Linked DNA regions of Caenorhabditis elegans. The protein of the gene in region 1 purifies or fractionates together with the protein of each later gene. This does not show direct contact. Each region holds a gene or a part of one and is shown on either strand. Other genes may lie near its edges. The genes, in order: tag-297, F53F4.15, srh-56 and acs-11.

Region 1 (7,056 bases):
ATTGGTTGTTCATTTCGTGATTGCTGTAAATTTGATGAAAATAGTTCGGCTTTGCCGATTTTTTGGCCTTTTGTCCTTGAAGATCAAAGTCAATCGCAAACCAATTGTAAAGTTGTTTAGGAACACATCAAGCACAGCGCCTATGCAATCACTCACATTGCCCAGGGTGGAAGTTGTCGGGATTTGGGAATTGTTGGACACTCTGTCATTGAATCCTCTGAAGCTCTTGCTAAAAATCTTGATATTAAATATTCAAGTCAACAAATCATGAAAGCATTCACACCGAGATTTTTCCATCCAATTATTGCAAATTACAGTGGCATACCAAAGTATTGGATGTACTCTTTTGATCCCAAGGGTGCGAGCATTCAGGTTTGCCGTGCAAGAGAAACGCAAATGGCTGACTATACCGCTGGTTGGTAACCATATTATTTGAATTTCAACTTTTTTTTTAACTTTAGAGCAATTCATATCTTTCTACCGGAAATTCCTAATGATGTGGAGACCAAAGGATGGGGATACGGACTTTTTGAAGGTTAATTTGTTGAGTAAAACGATGGAAAATCTCACGGCACGGATTTCCATGAATCTTCAAATCGGAACCAATATAACTGCACCCTTGCATGAGTGGAATTTCAAGTTGACTGGGAGATTTGTAATTTGAGCTTTGTAACCTTACCTGTAATTTTTCAAAAGTATGTTTAGGACGTGGAAAACGAAAAACTGTTTATCACTAACTTGGAGTGGTTCTGTCCAGTGACCGTTGATCTCATGGATCTTTCACTTATTGCGATTCGCGAAGTTGTTGCAGAGAAGCTTGACGAAGTTGCAGCGGACTATACACCAACGTTCACATTCTTCTCATCCGTGGATTTTTTGAATCGGTTCACCAAAAATCTGAATAACTTGAAAACCGAAAGTTGTCTGAACGGATCCATGGTGTCCATGGATCATTTCCGTGAGTAAACAGAAATTGAAAATATTGATTTGTTTTTCTACGTTTCAGACGATCTCGAAGTAGTTTTGGATCATCAACAAATTCCTATAACATCAGTGTTCATGTAAGTTTTTCTTCCAAGAATATCATCTTAAGTTGAACTTTACAGTCTTACCGTGTTCAATATGAGGACATTGTACTTCCTGCTGAAGCGAAAACTCACTTTATGATGCAAACACACGCGGGAGGAGATTTTATGGATCCCGTATTCCATACAATGGTAGGCAAACGGGACTACGAGCACAAATGGTTCTTCAATCTTGAATGGGTTAGTTGCACTGTTCTACCGTTCGTATACCCATGAATATTTTCAGGATAACTTTGACCAGTTTTATTACGTGCAAAGCTTGAAGGTTGAGGCCCATCGGTAGTCTTCCCAAATGGTCTGTACACTAAATGGTTTACAGGATATTGAACTTTTTGATTCGAGATAAATTATTTTGTGTTCAGTCTTTTAAAATTGTTCAAATTATTTCTGAAACCGCAGTGTCAGGGTTCTGTCTTTGAAATTTTTGAGGGTTCAGGCTTAGGCTTTGGCTTAGGCTCAGGCATAGGCGTAGGCGTAGGCTCAAGCATAGGCGTATGCATAGACGAAGGAGTAGACGTAGGCTCTGGCTTAGGCTCTGTCTTAGGCTAGGCCAACTAAAACTAAAATATGGCCAAAAATGAAAATTAGAATTGAAAATTGATTGTATCGGTGTGTTCAAAACAACATTTGTTAAAGTGGAGGGGGCAATGAGAATAATCACCCGATCTCGTAGTTCCAAACAGGATGTGAATATAGAGATCAGAAAATTTATTGTAATAAAGAAATAAAAAATATATACAAACAATCAAATTTAAATTAAGTCGAAAGACAATCAACATTGGTAGAAAATAATAAATATGAATTAGGTATCTTAAATCAACCTCTGACCGTATTCAAAAAGCCTCCGAGACCGGATAAAAAGTTTCCGCCGCCGGAAGTTCTTTTGTAATCGGCAGCTTCTTTTTGGAATCTATCTTCTTGAAGTTTTTCAAAAGCTCCACACTTCTTATCCTTCAAAATATTTGGAATTGAGTTTGCAGTAGTGGCTGCCTCAAAGAGCAAGTTGGTCTTGACCTTAGCTCCCTCAATGTCATAATCGACAACAGCGTGCTGGCAAGCAAGTAGACGATCTGGATCTCTCTTCGAGACCCAGTATTCCAAGAGTTCGGAGTTGGTTGGGGTGTAGGATCCCTGGTCAAGTGAGTTGGCAGCAAGCCATTCTCCAATGATGGCAAATTTGAAAGCTTTTCCCAGAAGCGGGTTGTCGATTTGGGCGAAGAATTCCTTCTCGAGCTCCGGTCTAGTTTGCCCACGCTCGTAGAACTTCATCCAGACATCTACTGCTCCTTGCTTCTGCCAATAGTCTTTCTGCCAAACAGATTTAGAAAATGCGGTGCACATTGTGAAGTTTGGATCCTCTGGTGGTGGGCACAGCTTGACAGTTAATCGGTATGTACGTTCGCCGGTGGCTCTGCAGAGATTTCCCTCGGTGTTCTCCAAAAGTTTCAGCTTTCGAGATTCCTTGCACCAATCACAGTAGAAGCATTCACGACCGCAGGTGGCAACATCCATGCATCGGAGCTTTCCGATTGGTTGGATGGAGACATCAAGCTTCATGGCGAGCCTATTAATATGAACTCCTGGTGGAAGAGTGACATCAATTCCCATATCAAAGCAATCTGGCCATGTGAGGTGAACAGTTCCGTCCCCTTCTCGTTGAGATGGATGGCTGAATGTTGGGTTGGCTAGCTTAATTGGCTGAGTGCATTCTTGACCGGTCAGCTCCTTACAGCATGGTGCTGACCTGACATCCTTCAACTTTGCGATGAAAAGATTTTTGGAAATAACTGCTTCATAGGATTTCGGCCCGGTTTGCTTGACGGATCCGGTTCCAATTGGCACATCCTTATCATTGTAGACTACAGTGTTTCCATTCTTATCGGCAACAACCTTTCCAACAGAATGTCCCTTGGCGTCATAACACTGGGATACTCCTGGTGTCTCTGCTGTGCAATGATATTTGTTGTTTCTTCTGCCGAAAAGCGATTGCTCAAGATCGGTACCGACGAGGTTGTCAGCTGAGAGAGTAGCATCGGTTTTCTTGCCGGTTTGGGAGATTGTGTAGGCATATTTTCCGTTCTTGTTCTTTTCCTGGAAAATGTTGAAAGTTAAATATTTGTCCTCATTTGTTAGTTAAAAATTTTTTTTATAAAAGGTATGCGGCATTTTTTCCAAAAAAACTTTAGATTTTGGCAAGATCGACAACTCCCGAATTTCTTTGGAAGCCGATGCCATAATAAAGTTTCGGGAAAGAAATAATGAATAAATAGATATAAAATAATCATTTGGACCCGCAAGAGTCCGGTGATTTTGTTGTTCCTAAATTTTTACAGTGAATATTTTTAATCTGGTAAGTTTAAAGATTAAATGTGAAATTTCATAACTCACTCTATCCAAAAACGACAAAGTTCCATCTCCGGTGTTATTATTATGAGCGTGTGGGTTCAGCTTGAAATTGAGCCTTTCGTTGTTGGCTTCAAATTCGGTTTTCTGAAAATATCAAAATCCCATTTTGTTCGTTTTTTTTCCTTCAAAAGTACTCTTACCGATGGATCTCCTTTAAGATCTCCCTTTGCGACAGTATCAAGCTCGTACTTTCCATCAGCTTTGAGCAATGCGTGCTCACCTTCGCCGTCGGTTTTTGTGCGGAGTTGAGCTCTGAATTTAAGATTTCGCCTAATAATTTAATTTCCGACCACTCACTTGTGCCCGTCAACTGTAGCGATTCCTCCCTTATCTCCAATCTTCTGCACTTGAGCCCTCTTCCCGTCGAAAGTTTCGGCGGCAGCGACATTTCCGGAAGAAGAGGCGCTGAATTTCTGCTGGGTGTTTAATAGATCCAGAACAACCTTTTCCTTGTTAGATGCGTCGAGAGATACCTGAAACTTTTTTTTTTTAATTGTTAAGCATTTTTATTTCCGTTTAATTGAAAAGATAACTATGCGAGTTTTTTCGAAGATGCATCTAGATTTAGATAAAAATCGGAGTACAACTTTTGAAAATTTTCATATTTGAAAAATTCATTTCACTAACCCTCTGAACTTCTTTCTGCTTCTTGTCCAACCACGATGAGTCGACCTCAATGTGCTTCCTCTTCTCATTCAGACTAACATGATTTGGCACCAGGCTCTGCGCACTCACAGCTACAGTTAATGAGACTAGGCAAAGGAGAACTCTTCTCCGCATCTGAAAATTTCAGTTTAAAAAATTTAAAGTATTTAGGAAAATGAGAAATTTTGCGATTTGGTATCCGATATTTTCCTCATACTCGAAAACACTTCAAAAACACATCATTTTATCATAGCAACTCTTCTCGACAAAATTTCAGAAAATTTTATGGCGGCTCAAAATTTGGAAAATCTTAACTCTGCTCGTATTTTTAATATGGCTACCTATGCATTCAAATTTTACGTAGTATAATATGATTATGATCAAAACATTCATTTCTGACGACTTTCAAATTGGCCCCAAGTTGGCAATTGGCAATTGAATTTTACAACTTTTTTTGAATTTTTCGAATTTTTTTTTGAATTTTTAGAGCAACATAAATACAAATATAGTAAAAAATTAAGATGAACAAGAACTATCGCTGATGATTTTGGATCAATAGGGATAAAAAGAGAACGGATAGGGAGATAAAAGATAATCAAAGTGGAGAGGATGTAGGGCAACTACTATGTCTATTTAACATTCATCGAACGACGAGGACGACGGTTGAGACAAGCGAAAGCCTAATGAGATGTATGGGGACAGCTGAAGGAAAGTGAAGTGATGTTGGTGGTGATGCGCAAGTTTAAGATCGGCGTCATCGATATAATTTCGTTTTGAGAAAAAGAAGCAAATGCGGCTGGTGGTAAATGATGATCCTGTTTTTCAGCTTTTTGGTGAATCTCCATTTGCCTTTTTATATTTCTACACCGGCTTGTTTCCTCTTCTTAGCCAATTTGTATGTGTTCAGTTTAAAGTGATACTTTGCCGATGAGTCAGTTAGATTAAATTACAAAGAGAAAGTTTTTTTAGTGTAGACGACTTCAGCGACAGGTGTCTTAAAACTCACGTCAGTTGATATTCCAAAAGTTCAGATATTTTATTGGTAAAGTAGACACACTTCGGAGAAGTTTGGTTTTGTTGTGTAGGAGGCAATTTTTTAAATCAATTTTTAATATTTTGGATGGCTATAAGTTCCATGTCAAAATTCATAACTGCTTTGAAAGTCTGACAAAAAATAGTTCAAAAATTTTAATTTTTCTTCTTCATGTTTTACCCACAACTTGTTTAAATATAATAGATTGCAAGGTAATTTTAATCTCTCATTTGAAACATCACAAATAAACTCTTATTATGTACATATTTTCTGTTATATGTAGTATGTGTCATGAAAGTACTGTGGGGGATAAAACTGTGGCCATAATATACGATTTTGAGAAAACTGCAGGAGAAAAGCTGTTGGGCGAGAGTATGACGCCACCTAGAACCATTGGAGAAAATACATCCGGGCACAGGAACAGTGGTGAAAGAACTAACGGGCTTAGCACATATGGATTGAAAATGTTTGGAGACAACACATATGGATTCAGGATAAATGGAGCCATAACTAATGGGGAGAAGATGTATGGGGATAGTAGATATGGTGAGAGAATAAATGGTAATGGTACTGCCGGAGAAAATATCCATGGAGATAATACCGAAGGGTTGAGAATCAGTGGAGAAAATATGTTGGGGGAGAAGATGACGGGACCTAATACAGATAATCCGTAAACCGGAGAAAACATGTACGGAGTGAAGACAGTCGGATTCAGTGAAGTGTATACAGTTACGTCGCCAACTCTTATGGTTCTACCACGTTTCACTCTTCTCACGGGATACGCGATGTTTTCGATGGACTTCCAGAGGGAGAGCATTCTTTCAGATTTGGTGTAGTTACGGTAGCTTTGCATTTCAGGTTTTTGCAGAGTTGAGTCAGCGCCTGGAATGAATAAAATTTAGATTTTTAAACTAAAGTTTCTATTCAATCACCCTTACTTGTTCAGCAAAGGTTAAGATTTTGATTGTTAGGCAAGGTTAAGATTTTGATTATTTAAGATTGTGTCATTAATTTTTAAATTACGTTAAAAACTTGATAGTAGGCGCGTAATTATAAGGTTGATACATTGACAGAAAGGTAGTTAGCCGCAAAGTAAACACAAAAGTCAGCCAAGTAGGCAAGCAGGCAGATAGAAGGTAGATTCGTACATAAGCTAGTGGGTAGGCATGATAAAGACACCTAGCTCAGCCACGTGGACAGGCAAATAAAAGGTAGTCAAGTAGAAAAGCTAGTAGGCATGGGGTAGACCCAAAAAAATGCAGATACGAGGTTAGGCAAGCATAGAGTAAGTATACGGTAGACACAATCGCAGACTCGAGATAAGTCTCTTTTATATTTCTCTATTCCATAAACATTGAAATTCTGACTCGGTATTTTTGCGTGCAAAATCGTACCTACTTGGGAAGTTGACGGAAAAGGAGAAAAATTTGTTAAGTCAAAAAAATTATGGTAATTATTTTATTTGGTTCTTACCGTAGTTCCCGAAAAGATTCTCCATTTGCGGCATTTCCAAAAACGAGAATCCGCTTTCTTTGAGCTCAGTTTTCTGATTTTTGCTCAGTGACTTTTCAAGATTCTCAAAATTCTGACTCATGTTATCAGTTGCTGATAAAACGGCCTCCTTCTCTTGCTGATTTGAAAATGATTGCTTCTCAGGATTGAGAAGCTTTATCATCTGAAAATTAGAAAATTTCAAAAAAAATTTCGCGGCAACTATGTACTTTCATGGCCTCATCCAAAATTGGTCGGGTTCTGGAAATTTCCATGAAAAACGCTAGGAGTCGGTCTTTTTCGGATTTTTCGAAAGATGACTTCTCGATGAGCTGAAACTATTATTTACGGAACCTCAGAATTAAAAAAAACTGATTACATCTGGAATTGGAAAAA
Region 2 (4,882 bases), on another chromosome or scaffold:
AGTGATTGATGTGTATTTTCTCCCCATCCATACATATTCTCACTTGGAAGATACGTCGCCAATTGCAAAAACTGATCCGAAAATACCAATCCACCAATTGAAGTATCAAAGATTTTCCGGTTTGTACTATTTCGAATTACAGAAAAACAGAAGAGATCATCTGATGATTCAGTAATAAATGAAAGAGTCTCTGAAGAGGGAAGTGTTGCTCTGGAAAAATCAATGGGCGGTTCATATCTTCCATCTATTCCAATTTTCACATTTAAAACACTTCCAACCATATTTGTTTTCAGTTGAATGTTTTGAAAATCGTCGCCCCATGGATTTTTGGGACCATTGTTCTTTTGAAGATTATATGTAGAACCGTTTTGAGAATCAATGTTATATCCGACACCATCTTTGAAAAAGCATGATGGTGATCCATCGATATTATCAATTGGATTCCAGATACACCCACGTGCTTCACAGAGAACTTGACTTGCAGATGGTTCAGGATAACAATTGATTCGTGGTCCGGCAATAGAGAATTGAAACAAGAATGGGAGAAATATGAATACTAAACTCTTAGTTTTCATTTTAAAATAAAATGACAGAAAAGTGACTGCAAAGTGGAGAATATTATTGGGATTATATAAGTTGATAAGGGGTGGTTAGTAGGTACAAAAAACGTGCTGATAAAATAAAAGATCGATTAGTTCAATTTCAATGTTTAGATTTGATTTCATTTGAAGGAGCGACACTTGATGTTGCATTGGTTCTAGTCGCATTCAACACTGTAAGCCACTCATCTGGAATTGGATTTCCAATCATTTTGTACCACCTGAAAATAGGAATTATTTTTTAATAATTGTTTCAAGCTCACCATGATAGAACTCGTTTCTGGTAAATTTGAATAAATATCAGGCAAGAGAGTGGAGAAAGAACAGGCATAAAAAGGAATCCTGTGAGCGTGAGATATTCAAATACGGGGTGATTGAAAAAGAATTGCCCAATGACGTAAGATACAATGCTCATTCCGTAAAAGCCAGGGATCATGGCTTGCCATGTGAGAGCCTGAAAGGTTTTGGCGTTTGAAGTAATTCGTAAGCATTTCGTCACGTTTTTAATGCAGAAATCAATTGTTTGAAAAATTTCAATCGTCTCGGAGGCAACTTGATAAGTGCAACAAAAATAAGTTGCCACCGAAATCCTACATGATATCTGGTAATTTTTTGAACTAAAAGTAAGGTTTTTTAATAATTAGCTCACTGACGAAGGCGGACTACGGGCGATCCTAGGAACCTAGAACATAGGTTCAAACTTTTTTGCCAAGTTTATTACTTCTACTCACCATACTTCTACTCAAATTTTGTCCAAATCTAACCAGCTGCTAAGCAAAGTTCTTTTAGTCTAACTTGGATGCGAATGTTGTCATGTTTTATGATACATTGCTCATTCCACCCCAACCATAAAAGAAAGCATCATGCATCAACCGTAATCGTTTTGTTATTACCCGAACGCCCATACCTTCAATAGCTGCTTATGCATTTCTTTAGTTTTTGATGACATATCCTTTGAATTAGAAGTAAGGTTCTCAATAATCTTTTTTCTTAATATCCAAATAGTTATGTAGACTGGTGTTATTGGGCACGTCATATGTAGAATTGTGAACATTGCAGAAAACTCAATAATATTAATTGTTCCGCAAATAGTTTCGTTTTGAAGTTGATATTCCGGAAATCGTTCGACGACAATTCGCTTCATTTCATCTGCGTCATCGTCTGCCCACAGAAATGTTATCTTAAAAGTATCAGCTTGAAATCTAAATTGTTTCACATTATTACCATTTGGATAATTGACGGAATTGATATAAACATAAGAATTACTATCAAAGCTTTTCTCGTTGGTGCCGGATGAAACAGGATATAATATCGATATGAGAACCCCATTAGCAATGACCATAGACCATGAGCTACTAATGAAATGTTTATGCTGTATCTGAAATTAAGAAAATGAAGCGTGTCGGGGAATATGTATTATGGTGTACATAAAATAGCAGACATGGGGTCCAAAATAAGTGCACAGTCCACGTGACAAATAAGCCATTGTAAATCCAGCCGGAATATGCCGCATTTGAATGAAAAGATCTGTGAAACAGGCGAGGAAATCGGTCAATGCAAAGTTTATGAGAATTGTGGTGTAAGCGGCGATTGTCTGGAAATGGAAACTGATGTTTGAAGGTTGAAATTGCTTGTCTATGTGATGAGGAATTTCTGCAGAACATTTCCAGCTATCCCACACCTAGTTATAATGGCAGAGTTCTGTAGAAAGCTGAGCCTATATTACGAGATTTGCACAGTTTTTACCAAACTGGGAACTAAAGCTCTCAAATTTTGATTTTAATCTATATTTTATGATTAGTTCAAAGATTTTTCACGAAAAACTAACCTTCGGAGTCCGAAAAAGTGCCAAAAAGAGCACAATTGAATTGAGAATGCAGCCAGAAACTCCGGCAAACGTATGGAAAGAAAGGAAGAATAATGTGATAGAGTCCAGCATTTTTCAAGTTTTTCTGAAAGTGAAAAAAAAAATGGTAAAAGCTCTCTCTTAAATATAAATTTTTCAATAGAAAGAAAATCTTTATTTTAAGGCTTCACTGGAACGATGACTGTGAAGATTATGGTTACAGAATGATTATATTGTTCTAAGGAATGCTAAGAATTTTGCAAAATAAATAATTTTTTGGGAACTAGATTTTCCGTAATCCGTAAAAAAGTAAACAATTATCATATCTATTCACTCGACTTTTCGAAAAAGGAAGGAAAACACATCATGTGCACGTAAGATATCTCTATTTATGCTTCCTCGTGATGGCTCTCAGAGCTGTTAATTGCTTCATTCAGTAGAAAGCGTCTGGCGTACCTGAGAATATATGTACTGTTTGAATTACTCATAGTCTGGGATATATCTGTGTCGTTTCGTATTATATCAATAGTCTAGAACATTAAGTTAACTTGATGTTCTAGACAATTGTCAAAAAAAATTTACAGATCATCAAAATAGCGACGCCTTAATCATATTAAATCTATTACATAGATGTCTGAAGATGATAATTTTTGCCATATCTTACGCGCTTGGGTCTCGCCACGCTGACTACTGACTACTGTAACTCGTGCTGATTTATGACTGATCATGTTTTTATTTAAAAATTTTAGAAGCAATGTTTCATTTGAAACGAAAATTATAATGCATTATTACAGTAACTCGTTGTCAGCGTGGCGAGACCGTGCGCATAAGTATTTAAGATGTGGCGAAAATTCTTATCTTTAGATGTCTAGAATGCGTATTGCGCAAAATATTTCGCGCTACAGTAGTAATTTAAATATTTTCTGTAGTTTTCGCTACGAGATATATTGCGCGTCAGATATGTTGCACAACACGCATTCTCAGAAAGTAGTGATCTCGTAATAATACATTTGGTTAAGGCGATGTCCACGAATTACAAAATTTTATGAGAAAAATATAGGCAAGTTTTAAGAATTCATTCTTGTTCTCTTTCAGAGGTAAATAACGATTGGCTTTTACGCTGAGAAATTGGAAGTGAAACGGTAGAAGTTAAATCCAACCTACAACCTAATGCATCGTTATTCAAAAATTATGTTGTTATTTGGAAAACCTGATAAATCTGAACTATTTATATTTTTAAAGTTAATTTTCAATTAACTTTATTACATACAAAAATGCATTGCGAATCCAGTTCGCCCATATTTTTCAATCTGTCGAGATCACTGAGATATCACCAAAAAATCGTGTTTTCTTGAAGTTTTTCACCTAATCGTCTTTTCCATATTTCTCTTTCCCATTGTATGATTATCAATAATGTTTTCTCTTCATCTCTCTATTCTTTGCTTCACTCTCCTGATTGGTTATTCTATTGAAATGCCACCTGGTCGAATGTGCCTTCCGGAAAGAGTCAATTTTCGTAAAGTCTGGCCATGTGAACATGATAAAACTGCTGCCGAGATTTGTAGGTTTCACGGAGAAGTTGTAGAATTTAATATTACTTTTTGAAGTAGAAGAACGGGAAGATCGTGAAGCAAATCTTCGTGGAGCTCCGTCTGCATTTGCTCGGACAGGATTCTATGATCGTCTATTTCTTCAACAAAATCTTCCAACTGTCTATGATGATAATATTCCATATTATCCTAATTATGGCTACAATCCCAACAAGCCAGTCTGGGGATTGTATCGTTATTCTAACTATTTCATCAATCCATAATTAAATAATTTTAATGAATGAATAAATTTAAAATGATAACAAACAACGACTAAAAACTAAAAGAAAAAAACGAAAAGGGCCTATGGGGGAAAACTCAAAACCAATGATAATGGCGGAAAAATACTCGTATTTGACAAAAATTCGGAGAATGATGAGGAATTGCACATCGATAGATCTAGTTTTTGACGATTGCCGGATGTAGAATCTCGTCACGAAGTGATTTTCCGCCAAGAACCTAAATATATTTCATTAACTGCAACTAATTAGATTTAATTTTACCTGTGCTCTGTCTGGAATATAACTTTTGTAGTTGATCGCCACATATGTAGGATATGTGAGTGCACATACAGTATAATAAGCTCGTAGCAAGGTCATTCGAGCAGGCCGTTCCAGGTGATACCAGGGTAAACTCATCTGGAATAAAAGTCATGAAGTCAAGAAAAATTAGTTCTTTTATGGGTAGAATGAAAGATTCAACTCAATTTTTCAAAATTTAGAAAATCACCGAAAATCACAAAAATTGGTAAAATTGATAATTTTTCAACAAAAAAGTGAATTTCTATGTAGTTTTATTCATGTTTCGTTGACGTTTTTTTAAGTTCGAAATTAATGAGATTTTTTAAT
Region 3 (5,903 bases), on another chromosome or scaffold:
AAATGCCAATCGCCGCCTCGGAGCCAATTTTTCCAGATGGGTCAGCAAACGCCGCTCCAGCATTGTTAATCTGAATGGAACAGTCAAAAATTTTAAAAAGTCGAGAAATCTCACCAAAATATCGATTTTACCAAATCTGCTCAAAGTGCTCTTGATGAGCTCATCTTGACATTCGCTCTCATTCAAGTCGCCGAGAACAATGTTGATGTTGTCACTGGAGCCACCGTTTTTATGAATCTCATTCACAGTTTCCTGGATTTTTTCCGAGCTTCTTCCGGTTACCGTAACCTTAGCTCCCTCCTGAGCAAGGAGGACTGCCGTGGAGCGACCAATTCCGGAAGATGAGCCTGAACGTTATACTTTGAGAGACTTTATCTCCAAATTGGTCTGCCAAAACATAAAAAAAAGAGATTTTCAAAAGCTTAACTCAACTACAGTAATCCTACAGTAATCCTACAGTAACCCTAAAGTACCATTACAGTATTTCAACGCTACTCTAGTTAAACTTAATAAATTCCAAACAAATATGTTCCCCCAATTGAACAGACTATTTTACAAAATGACTGAAGGTACTGGATGAAAAATTTCACTACATTTTCTAAAAAAAACCCTTACCTGTAATTATTGCAACTTTATCAGAGAATCTACCCATTTTTGACAAGTACTAGATTTTGGTCACTAAAAGTGAATCTCAAAAATTTATATACTGCCGCGCACGCCCGCAATGTAATTTGTTCGTTCAAGTGTTGAAAATGGGAGGATCGCCAGACTGTGAGGTCGCGTGCCGATTAGGGTATCTCTCGATAAACAAATTAATACAGATTAAACTTTTTTTCGGTTTTGTGAGAGATGAACTTTGACCATGTAGACAAATGCTAGTTTTTGAGTTTTTTTTTCGGTTAAACTAAAATATCTAAGGCTCAATGTCCTCGCAGATTTTTGGACTCAAACTATGAGTTGCAAGATTTAATTAGCGGCTATAAAGTTTTGTGCTAAATTGTGTGCAAATGTTATTTTAGTGGAATTCGATTTATGACTCGCAAACACCAAATGGAAGGTAAATCTAAAAAATGTAAATTCTTTCATTTTGGCGCCAGAAAACTTTCGTACAAAAAATGTAGGAACACTGCAGAAAAATAATTTTTTATCCAGACAGTGGTTTTCTTAAAAAAAAACTTCGTACCTATAATTAAATTCTGATACCTCAAAAATTGAAAAATCGACCACACAACAGCTTCAGGACCCCTGAGGTTTTCAAAAACTTTACAAAAATTTACCATACTTTTAAAATAAGTATCAGATTGTTTAAATATTCAAATAACATTTAATTATGTAATTTGATGAAGAAGAAGTTTTTCTCTGAAAGATTCCTGGTCACGAAACATTTACAATTAACCATAAATCAAAAATTCAAGTCAGAAAAGTACTTGAACACGACCTTCTGGAGAAACGATTTCTGAGAAATAAGGAAATTGGGAAACTTGTGTACCCCGATTGATCAAATTAGCAGGTTTGTGGAAATGTATTACATCAACGATCAAATGTTTATCGGCGTGAAACAACTACCGCGCGGCTCATTTTATTGAACTTTTTGGCGAGTTCAGTCACATTTTGAAAGCTTTTACTTCTGAGTTTCATAAGTATGTAGTTTTTTGGAATATAACTAAATCTATTGGTTTCCAAAAAAATCTACTTAGATTTGGTAGAAAGTTCAATTTTTCTAGATTTGTTAGGTCGTCACTAAGTTTGCAAAAATAGCATAAATTTATGACATTTTCGAAGTTTGTTTGCATTTTTCTCGCTTCGGCAGCTAAGAAGCCACAGACAAAACACAGCAGGATACCTGATTTCTACTGCGGTGTAGTAGATTTCTGGTCAAATTAGAAGTCGAACAAATTATGAGGATCTACTTTTTTCAAACAACTATTCGAACTGAATCCGCTGAGTTTCTTCTAGCAATTCCTACAATTGTTTTTTTTGACATGTACCCCAAACCTTTGATTTTCAATTTTGACTTCATCTTCAGCACCGACTACTCTTAGTCCTTTCTTAGCCCGATAATTTGGATCAAACGTTACTTTTAGGTGGATAAGAAGCTCAATTTTTTTGAATAGGCCCTTGTTTGAATAGAATTAAAACCAAGTTTTTGTCCAATTGATAAATTTCCAGCTGTTGAACCTAGGATTCTGAAATGTTGAAATAAAAAGGTTTCTGTAAAAATTGAAGAACTAATTGTAAAGATTTTTCTGGTAAAGCCTCTATTCCGGACAAAAAATCAGGAAAGATGTGGGGTCCCATTTACTTTCCAATTAACCCGGGAAATGTCCGCTGCAAGACATCAGTTTTTTACACTTTTTTGCCGTATTGTTTTGCATCGCCAACCTAGATGATCATTTGATCTGTCACAAAACACATTTCCCTTTTTAAATGTCCCTAATCACTAACACAGCATTTAGCATTACATCGAAACTCCAAGTCAGAGCCTCCTAGAAAAATAAATTTCCGAGAAAAAAAAATTGAAAACTCCGCACCTCAAATTATCAAATTAGCAGGATTACGGTGGTATTACATCAACGATCAAGAATTTTTCGGCGCGTCCAACTCTACCGCGCGGATCATTTTACATGCAAATGGGGCTTTGAACTTTTAGGCTCTGGTTTTCTGGCTTTTTAAGGAATTTTTCTTGTAACGCTTAGCTTGTGAACACTTTCGGAATTCCTATCGAAACCTATTATATTAAACATCTTCCAGGAAACCAATGGCATGGCCAGACAACAACACCTCAAACTGCCGGGAAACCTACTCCTATTTTGGCTCGGCAGACTATCTGCGCAATGCATATCATTTCACAGCACTTTTAACAGTTCCTCTATCCATATTCACATTTTACACAGTTATAACAAAGACGCCAAAGCGGATGAAAAATATGAAAATCCCACTTTTAATATCCCTGGCTTGGAGCACAAATCTCGATTTGATGTTCACAGTGTACTCGGGGCCGTATATATTTTTTCCGAGTGCCTCCGGAGTACCCCTTGGGCTTCTAGGATATTTGGGAGTAGGTGTCAAGTGGCAGTCGTATTGGGGACAGGTTTCCGTCACTAGTAAGTTTTAGGATCTTTTAGGAAATTTAAATATAAATTTCAAATACCACATGTTTTTCAGTGATGGGTGTCTGTTTTATAATGCTCTATGAAAATCAACATAGTCAAATTTCCACGATTCGATTCAAAATCAAACGGAGAAAAACTCGTTTAACATATTTCGCATTAAACTATTTATTCACATTTGTTGTTATGCTTCCATTTTATCTAGACGACACTGACCAATTGAAAATGAGACAGAAGGTCTTGGAGGTTAGTAAAATGTACTAAAATGCCCATTCAGAGATATTAGAAATGTTCAAAAAATTTTATAAAATTTTATATTTAAAGTCAAAAATGTGAAAACTCTCAGTTTTCACATATCCTAATTTTGGAAGTCGACCAAAAGATTTTTTTTGAATTAATTGCGTTCTTATTAATAATATTGAAACATTCTAGGAGTTCAGATCTGCGGGAATTTTCAATTTTTTTCAAAAATGTCAATTTTTGAATAACTAAAAACTTTTGAAGTGTTTATTATATTTTTCGGTCGTGTGTATTTAACACCCGTCTTCAAATTCAACTTAATTTTACAGAGAATCCCCTGTCCGACGAGCGAATTCTGGGACCCAAAAACCTATGTACTGCTGCAGGGCGGAGAGGTCTTGCCATTCTGGTCAATCACAATTGGTTTTGGATTTGTTATTTTCCAAACTTTTTTCTTTTTGTTACACACCGTTTATCACCTCACACTAGTATCAAGTGCCAAAATATCGGCGGCGACGAAGAATCTTCAGCGAAAGTTTCTGAAGAATGTTTCTATTCAGGTGAGTATAACTATAACTGAAAATTAACTGGAATAGCCAAATGAAACTGCAAAAAAATGCAAAAAAAATTTAAATGGGTTTGTTTCAATTTTAAAAATTTAAAAATGTTTTTGACAAATTGAAAAACCACAAAATTTTTAAAATTTTAAACATTTAATTCTAGCATGTGTTTTTTTAGATCTCAATTCCATGGATTGCCATTGCATTTCCTGTGGCCTACACTATGTATGCAGACAAAATGAATTACTATAATCAAGGTGAGAAAGTGCAAATTATTTAAAAAAGCCAAAACATGGCTAACACGTTCCAAACTTTTGCAGCCTACAACAACAACGCTATGCTAATTATGGCAAATCACGGACTTCTATGCACCTGTTGCACCCTTTTTATTTACAAACCATACAGAGATTTCACTAAAAGTCTGATCCCTGGACAACGATTTTCACAACGGAGAATGACTATCATCGTGGAACCTGTGACGTCTCCACATGGAAGTGTGTCTAATTAGTTTTTTTTAAATTTTCGTTTTATTTGCCAAGCAAGATTTTTTTACAAATATTTAGTAAATATGTTTTTTTTGGACAAAACTTGACTATTTTCACTCGGGAAACAGATGCGCATCTTGCTAGTGAGAGCCATTTTGGCAATTTTGGCATATTCATCAATTTTGAAAAATTTTGGCAATTTCACGAATTTCAGCAATTTTGACAATTTATCCATATCGGCAAAGTTGTCAATTTTGGTAATTTCGATAACTCTAGGATTTCTGACAATTTTTTTCAATGTTCGCAAATTCAAACTTTTTGGCAGTTTTAAAATATTTGGGCAATTTGGACAAACTTAGAACTTTCACCAATTTCAGCAGTATCATGAATTTTGGCAATTTCGGAAGTTTTTTAACATTTTGGGCAGTCTTGGCAATTTAAGATTTTTGAAAATTTTCGGCATTTTTGAAAATTATGGCAATTCAGGTAACATTGCCGATTTCAGTAATTTCAACAATTTCGAAAAATTGTCAAAAATCGAAAAAAAAAATTTTCAAGTATCGAAGCGTGTGAAAAGTTTCTAGAGATTTCACTGACCTGCTACTTACTCACGCTTCACTGGAAATTTTCCGTGCTTGAGCTATGTCCTTGTTACATCATGTCATCGTGGGAACTAATAAGGTGTCTGTGAAAACTTGCCAAAAAATGAGACAACCTAGTATGTATAATGAGATTAATGTTAGGTACATTCTCTTTTGTTAGGCACGTATCAACACATTCTTCTCAGAACCAAAATTTTGTCATTTGACATATAAGCTGCTTTCGGTGAATATTCTACGCACTCCATGTTTATCAACTGGGCTCACTTTATCATTCCCAAAATAACGTTTATCTTGTCTTTCATAGCCAATCCTGTATTCGTATATCTGATACGTACGGAAAAAGTGATTCAATTCGGTGATTATCGCTATCTTTTATACTTTTTTGCAATTTTTAATCTTACTGCATCAGTTGTGGATATTTTGATACCAGCCGTAAGTTTTTCAATTTTTTAAATCCAAACTTTTCAATTTTTTCAGTGTGTTTATAGCTATCGTTATGCGGCTGTATTCTTCATTGTAGATAGTGTTTTTTCAGAGGTAATATCTTGAATGATAGAGATTCAAATTGCGAGTTCAAACAATATTATATTTACATAAATTGTTATCCGAATAATTAAAATCTACAACAAGTAATTAAAAAAAAAACTAAAACATTTCGACCGGTTTTGTTGAAAAAGGTTACAGTTTTTTTCAACAAAAAACAAACATTTCCAAAAAAAATTTGTATTGTGTGATTAATCTTTTTGAAGCACAACTACGAGCCTTTAAAATAGTTAAAATTGAATTGAGTTTTTTCGAATACTTTTTTCCTTTTTTCAGCGTTCCAACTTTGCCCCTACCTTAATATCCTTGCGATGTGCGTTTATTGCTGGAACCTATGGAATCCTCAACATTCATTTCATTTTT
Region 4 (7,369 bases), 9.9 Mb from region 1:
TTTTTTGCCATCCAAGTAAAAAAAATTAAAATAGGAAAAAGGTTATAGAATTTTTTTTGGTCAAATTGCATATTTAAAACTTTTTTAATTTGATCAATAATTACCACCATAGCAGTCACTTCATATTTGTATCTTTCAGAACAAATCTCAATCCCAAAAGCCACTTAAGGCTGATGTTCCATGCCTCAACGATACTGAGATGCTCTCCTATATGAACAATCCAAAGGTTCGTAAGGCAATCCACATTCCATTCAATCTTGGAAAATGGGATATCTGCAGGTGAGCCTGAGCCAAAGAGCCCAAGCCCAGAGATCAAAACAAAAATTTTCAGTGACAAGGTGACTACTACCTACCAGAAGCAGTACACCGATATGACTCCATTCATCAAGAAGATCGTCAAGAACCACGTCAGAGTTCTTTTGTACTATGGAGATACTGATATGGCCTGCAACTTTATGATGGGACAGCAATTCTCTGATCAACTTGGACTTCGTAGAACACTTAAAAAGACTCCATGGAAGTATGATAGACAAATCGCCGGATTCAAGACACTTTTCGATGGGCTCAGTTTCATCACTATTCGCGGAGCTGGACATATGGCTCCACAATGGAGAGCTCCACAAATGTACTACGCCGTTCAACAGTTCCTGAATAATCATCCACTTTAAATTTGGAGAACAAATAATATTTTTATCTTCTTATTTATTTTTCAATCTATTGGTCAATTTTCCAAGTTTTGAATAATGAAATTTGATTTTTAAATTTTGTGATTTTCGAATACACTGAAATATTTTTCAGAAAGCTTCCAAATAACTGTAATCGGTTTACTCATATGACGTTTGGATTAAAATTTCAAGTAATTTCGATTAATAAAACTGATGTTCTACTTATTAATACGTTGTACCTTTGGAAATAGTCAATAAATAATTGGAAAGTCTTGTTTGTTCGAAAAAATATCGATTTGAAATCTCAAAAATGCCTTTTGTGGCACTTCCAACCAACATAGTTACTTTTTGTCCAATTTCTCAATAAAAATCGTATTAATTGAGCGAAAATACTACGAATTCAAAAGTTTACCATTCAAATTTAAATTTTCCTTTTTCCCGCCGATTTTCGCTACTTCGGCCATGTGCGAGTTTCTAGGCCACGCGGAAATGCACGGCGGCCACGTGGTCCGCAATTTTACGTACACGTCATTTCCGCGGAATTTCCAGTTTTATTTTCCGATTTTTCGCTTAAATTTTTCAATTCGAGATAAAATCAGTTTCATTTGCTAAAAAGAAACGCAAATTTATTTCAAAAAATCAATAATCTTCTTCTATTTGTTTTTCTATGACCGATTCTTTTGAGAATTTAATTTTTTTCAGCCGTTTAAAAGAGAAACCACTTGGGTCCAGTCAAAATGATGAATTTCGAAGTAAGCACAACAAAACGTAAGTTTGAAAATCAGAAAATATATGTAAACTGTGAAACATTTCAGAAATCGGAGTGGGGTTAACGACGTTCGGCTTCTTTTTCATATTTCTCGGAGTGCTGATGTTCCTTGATTCTGCTCTTTTAGCTATCGGAAATGTAAGTATTTATTGTAAATTTAAAGCATAAAATTATTATTTTCAGCTTCTATTCATTGTTGGAATCACATTTATTATCGGCGTGCAGCGAACACTTGTTTTCTTCTTCGAATTCCGAAAACTGAAAGGAAGCATTCTCTTCTTCGGAGGTTCGATCACAAGGAATTCATTATTTTAATTTAAAAATTTATTTTCAGGGATTTTGGTAGTTCTATTTGGGTACCCATTGTTCGGAATGATTGCCGAGTGTTGGGGATTTATTGTCCTTTTCGGGTGAGTTTTTGACTAAAAAATGTTGAGTTTTCTAAATATTTGCAATAGAATCAATATCTTGAATTTTCTGCTCTTTTTCTTCGATTTGTAACAAACATTTTGAACTAATCGCTCACGAAATTAAATTTAATCTAATAATAATGAATTTACAGTGGTTTCCTGCCTGGAATTGTCAATTTGCTCAGAAGTATCCCCGGAATCTCAACAATCACATATCTTCCTGGAATCCGACAGGTCAGTTCTAACGAATCAGGATTTTTATCAATTATTTCAAGTTTTAGGTCCTCGATCGCCTTGCTCCAGAATCCAAGTACCCCGTCTGAAAAGTTCAGGATCTTCCCAAAAATCTCACCAAAAATGGGTTCTATTTTCTTTTTTGTTGAAAATATTTTCTCCTGTGTTGTCCCTTCTCCTCTCATATCACGTTCGGTTCAACTACGATTTCGGCCAAAATGCACATTTTCTGTGTAATATTATTCAATTTTAATTTATTTATTATTAAAAATTTTAAATTTTATCTCATTTCTAAAATATCCCTCAGCCTTTGTTGTATAATACGCTTTCATTTTCTTCTGTTCCTAGGTGAAAAATGTGATTATAATTATTTATTAGATTCCCTTTTTTCCTTTTCTTGTGTTCTGACTCGATATCCATTACATGACTCATTTCGATCAAAAAAAATGATGTTCTATGCTTGTTCTTCAGATCAAACAAATCACGTTTTCACCACCAAAGAACTCATTTCGACGAAGGTTTCTTCTCCCTTCAACCTCTTATCTTTGTTGCCATTTTTAAGAATGACAAATCGAGAATACGAGACGCAGGGCCAACAACATCTCGTTATAAGAAACGGTCAACCCGATCAATTCACGATTTTAATTCAGTTTTCTACAGCTTCCTGTTTTCAAGCACTGCAGATTTGAAACAAAAACCTTGTTTTAAACTTAGAATCTACCTGAAAAGTCCGATAAAAACTGAAAAAGTTCTTACTCGTAGAAAAAATTATTTTTAAAAGAAAAAAAATGCAGAAATTGATGAAATAAGGTTAAAAACCAAATCAAGCATTTTTGAACATCATTTTGAAATAAAAAATTGAAAATTTACGGTATTGTGCATATTTTGTGCAATTAGAATGCGAAAACTTTGAAAAAAAACTTCCAAAGTTGAATTTTAAATAGAAGTTGCCTAATTTTCTTGAATTTTTCATTTTAAAGCATTGTTTCTATTACAGAAAATTAGATATTTCAGAAATGCTCAGTCGTCTAGTCAGCTCCGTCCATCCACAAATTGGGCTCCGTGCCGCTTCTTCTGCAGCCAACAATATTGTCAGTCAAGCTCAGCTTCAATCCGATCCTTCGAAGGTTGCTATTCAATATCCTTCTGAACGTTTTTTCCATAATTTTATAATTTTCCAGCTCCTCTTTATCGATGGCGATCGCAAAACGACTTATGGAGAATTTGTTAAACGAACTGGGCAATATGCAACTGCTCTGACTGAAAAGTACAATATAAAGGTCATTTTATCTTTAAAATTGTATAAATTCAACTTTTCAAATTCAAATTTTCTCAGAAAGGAGACCGTGTGATGGCTAGAGTATCAAAAACGACCGATACAGCTGCTCTCTACATTGCTTGTCTTCAAATCGGAGCACTCTATATTCCAGTCAATCCAGGATATACTGAATCTGAAGCTGCTCACTATATCAAGGATGCGACACCTTCGATTCTAGTCTCGTGCAATGAAGAATTGGATAAAGTTTTCAGAGATAAGATCAGGGTTATCAACGAGGATAAGTTGGCATCTGAAGCAGGAAGCTTGAATGTAAGCTGGAAAATATGAAAAATTTAATAATTTTCAAAAAAAAATTCAAAATTGAAAAAACCACAAATTCCTTGTGATGCTAATCAAGAAATATAGAAAAAAATATTAATTTTACTTTACAAATTCGTGAAAACTTGAGCCTCCAGTTTAAAGGGACACGATCTTCTTCTGCTTGGGTCTCGTCACGATCTCAGCCACCGTGCAGTATCTATTCTGAACGTTTTTAGAAAAAAAAATTAAAAACCAAAATTTTGACAAGAATATTAGGAAAATAGGAAAAGTGTTTGGAGTACAAAAGTGACTACTTTTTTTTGGATTTTTCGGTATCGAAATACCGATCAAACCAAAAAACGCCGTGATCGTGCCGAGACCCACCCGGAAAATATCGTGTGCCTTTAAACTGACATGTCAAAATTAAGTCAAAAGAAAACACAATATACATACTATCCATGCCCAATATTCAAATGCAACATTTTCCAGGCATGCACCATGATCGAACATGTCGAAAAATCGGATCCCGCATCAGTTTGCTACACTTCAGGAACCACCGGACTACCAAAAGGAGCAATCTTAACTCATGGATCATTGTCTAACAACGCACATGATATTGTCCGAGACTGGGGATTTACTGGAAATGATTATAATCTACATGCACTTCCATTCTATCATGTACATGGACTCTATTATTCCCTTCATTGCTCTTTATTCTCACATTCAACAATGATTTGGCGGTCGAAATTTGAAGTTGAAGATTGTATAAAATACATGAAAAATGCGACGGTTATGATGGGAGTACCAACATTCTTTTCAAGACTTTTGGCATCAAAGAATTTCAATAAAGAAGCATTCGGAAATGTTCGAGTATTCATTTCTGGATCTGCACCTCTATCAGTATCTACAATTGAAGAATTCAGGGAAAGAACTGGACAAGTGATTCTTGAAAGATATGGTATGACAGAAGCTGGAGTTATGACTACTAATCCATTGAATGGAGAGAGAAAAGCTGGAACTGTTGGCCCGGCTGTACAAGGAGTTGGATGTAGAATTGCAAAAAATGGAGGAATTGAAGTGAAGACAAATGCGATTTTCGCTGGATATTGGAAGAATCCAAAGAAGACAGCTGAAGAATTCACTGAAGATGGATGGTTTAAAACTGGAGATGTTGGACATCTTGATGAGGATGGTTATTTGACGATTGGTGGAAGATCAAAGGATATGGTTATTACTGGAGGATTAAATGTATATCCAAAAGAACTTGAAGATTTCATTGATACACTTCCATTTGTTAAAGAATCTGCAGTTATTGCATCTCCACATCCAGATTTTGGAGAAGCAGTTGTTGCAATTGTAGTCCCGTCGGAGAAGGTGACTGATGAGAAGGAGTTTGAGAAGAAGCTTATTGGAATTATGAAGAAGAAGGTTGCCAATTATAAGGCAAGTTTTTTTATTTAAAAAATAATCCGAAATTTCAAGATTTTTGCGCTAAAAATACGGTACCCGGACACGACAAATTTAAATGAAAAAGAGTGTGCGCCTTTAGAGTACTGTAATCTTGAAATTTCGTTGCATCGAATTTTTCATCGATTTTTTTTCATATTATGTCAAAATCTGTGCGTTTTTTTCAGTTCTATAATGAACGCATATTTTTATTCAAAAAATTATAGAAAATGGGTGAAAATTTCGCAGAAACAAAAATTTTAAGCTACAGTACTCTTCAAAGGCGCACACCTTTTTGTATTTGACAAAAAAAATTTCGCGTTTGGCTAATATTTTCTGCCATTTTTATTTTTTTGTTGTGAAACTAATCAATAAATGCAGAAAAACTTTAAAAAAATTGAATTCGTCTTGCTGTTTTCAATTTTCTTTTTCATTTTTTTTCTGTGTGCGCCAAGATTACTGTAATCTCAAATTTTCGTTAACGATGATTACTTACTTATTCAGTAAGTAATTTATTAATTAGAAGCACTAAAATAAAATTATGAAAAATCCCGCAGAAACTAAAGTTTTACGTTACAGTACTCTTTAAAGGCGCACAACTTTTTGCATTTAACAAAAATGTGTCATGTCGAGACCGGGTACCGTACTTTTGCGTCAAAAATCTCATAATAATCCCCTTAAAACTTTTTTTTTGAGTTTTCAAATTTCCATCGGACACCGCAATTCTCGTTCAGATATTTGTAATTTTTCAAGTTATAACAACCTGTTTTCAATCAACTTCTATAAAAAAAACATGTGATTTTTATAAATGTTTGATAACATACCTATTCTGCAAATAGGATACAAATATTAAAATCAAATTATCAAAGCTCAATGTCTAACATTTCAGGTTCCAAAGCGAGTGATTGTACTGGATGATTTGCCACGAAATCACATCACTAAGGTCCAGAAAAACGTTCTCCGTGACACCTACAAGAACCTCTTCGCCTAATTCCATTCCCAGTCAACAATACATCCCCAAAATATAGATATCATTTTTCTATTTTCAAATTGTAAATATTTCATAAGTATTGTAGAATCTTTTGTACAATTTTTCAACTTTTAACAGTAGAAAATAACAGTTGTTTATAGATATTTTTTGTTTCTATTGTTCTCCACACACTTTTAGGACGACGTTGTCCTCCTGACCCCGTAATCAGTCAGACTATTCTTAAGATGAGAGACATTTGATTATCAGATTAACATCAATGATATTATATATCTTGGCAACATCTTACGCGGTCAGTGTGTACCCGTTTTGGACATGTTGGAATCACGTGAAGCCCGTGAGAACTTTGGCTATAAAGAGAAGTGAAAAGACAAAAAGGAAGATAAAAAACGAAAGAGTATAGTGATTTATGACACAGATTTGCCCATGGTTTTTGCGAAACTCTTTGCCGAAACTCGATGTGTGATGTGCTAAATACTGTACTTCGAAATGCTTGTCAGCTTCCTTATGGTCTCACCACGAATTTTTTTGAATTGAAACTGCGGTGTGAGCCTTTAAAAAGTACAGTAACCACTTAGCCATTATTCCGCTTTTTTTGCAAATACATGCAAAATAAATCAATACCCAAGGAAGTCACAAAATTACGAGAGGTAGGTTACTGTACAACTTAAAGGCGCTTTCGAGAAGACCCAATTCGAAATGTTTTCATCGTGGCAGCAGCGGGTATCTTAATTTTGCAGAATTCTGAGATATCCTGTTAAAGGCGCACGGATTTATTCCGAGGCCCACCTGAACGAATCCGTGCGCATTTAAGTAGATATGTCTAGGTCCTACGAATATACAATAGCGTATTTCATGATTTTTACACGTCCAACATAAGCCTAAACCTAAAGAAAAGTAAGGAAATGTACCATTTTGCAAATTTTTCTATAAATTATAAATTTACTTTTAAGGCTCCCACTGCGGGCAAGTACGTCTTCAGGCGTGTCTACCTGTTCACATGCCTACTAGGTAGGCCCCGGGCAGGCGTCGTTCGCCTTGGAGGCTGGCAAAAATTGTCCTGAAAATAAACTTACAAATCTGGAATTGTTTAAAAAAACCATCCATAAGTTCCTCGAAGTAGTTCCCCATGCACCTAGTTTGAACCTGCTGGGATCAAAAATTCCGCTGTAAAATATCCAAACGGGAGCGTGAATGAATCATATACAATTCGTCAAACATCTCTCGGTCCAAAAAAGAAATACAAAGAAAGATCTATAACACTTGTTATTTCCCCCG

Evidence for each region.
Region 2: the proteins of tag-297 (region 1) and F53F4.15 fractionate together in Caenorhabditis elegans (co-fractionation; one large-scale study listed by BioGRID). This does not show direct contact.
Region 3: the proteins of tag-297 (region 1) and srh-56 fractionate together in Caenorhabditis elegans (co-fractionation; one large-scale study listed by BioGRID). This does not show direct contact.
Region 4: the proteins of tag-297 (region 1) and acs-11 fractionate together in Caenorhabditis elegans (co-fractionation; one large-scale study listed by BioGRID). This does not show direct contact.

The regions. Positions count from the first base shown.
Region 1 is NC_003280.10:14,624,845-14,631,900, reverse strand, and holds tag-297 (ShKT domain-containing protein), read right to left. Parts: upstream 4,272-7,056; coding exon 4,119-4,271; intron 3,965-4,118; coding exon 3,789-3,964; intron 3,744-3,788; coding exon 3,632-3,743; intron 3,576-3,631; coding exon 3,474-3,575; intron 3,177-3,473; coding exon 1,902-3,176; 3' UTR 1,780-1,901; downstream 1-1,779. Other genes in the region: mltn-10 (MLt-TeN (mlt-10) related), read right to left, coding at 5,459-6,051, 6,643-6,844, 6,891-6,992, 7,040-7,056.
Region 2 is NC_003283.11:13,617,149-13,622,030, forward strand, and holds F53F4.15 (Neuropeptide-Like Protein), read left to right. Parts: upstream 1-3,827; 5' UTR 3,828-3,858; coding exon 3,859-4,006; intron 4,007-4,052; coding exon 4,053-4,258; 3' UTR 4,259-4,328; downstream 4,329-4,882. Other genes in the region: srd-11 (G-protein coupled receptors family 1 profile domain-containing protein), read right to left, coding at 703-820, 863-1,053, 1,507-1,779, 1,824-1,977, 2,027-2,193, 2,428-2,538; F53F4.16 (uncharacterized protein), read right to left, coding at 4,434-4,493, 4,538-4,672.
Region 3 is NC_003283.11:2,769,102-2,775,004, forward strand, and holds srh-56 (Serpentine Receptor, class H), read left to right. Parts: upstream 1-2,758; coding exon 2,759-3,104; intron 3,105-3,165; coding exon 3,166-3,356; intron 3,357-3,679; coding exon 3,680-3,910; intron 3,911-4,088; coding exon 4,089-4,167; intron 4,168-4,230; coding exon 4,231-4,418; downstream 4,419-5,903. Other genes in the region: dhs-15 (DeHydrogenases, Short chain), read right to left, coding at 1-70, 115-347, 616-652; srj-18 (Serpentine Receptor, class J), read left to right, coding at 5,241-5,429, 5,475-5,534, 5,817-5,903.
Region 4 is NC_003280.10:4,739,045-4,746,413, forward strand, and holds acs-11 (fatty Acid CoA Synthetase family), read left to right. Parts: upstream 1-3,092; 5' UTR 3,093-3,094; coding exon 3,095-3,205; intron 3,206-3,259; coding exon 3,260-3,358; intron 3,359-3,414; coding exon 3,415-3,666; intron 3,667-4,146; coding exon 4,147-5,100; intron 5,101-5,992; coding exon 5,993-6,094; 3' UTR 6,095-6,236; downstream 6,237-7,369. Other genes in the region: Serine carboxypeptidase ctsa-1.1, read left to right, coding at 140-279, 332-668; eas-1 (putative Golgi transport protein 1), read left to right, coding at 1,403-1,433, 1,481-1,572, 1,618-1,720, 1,769-1,844, 1,997-2,078, 2,126-2,167.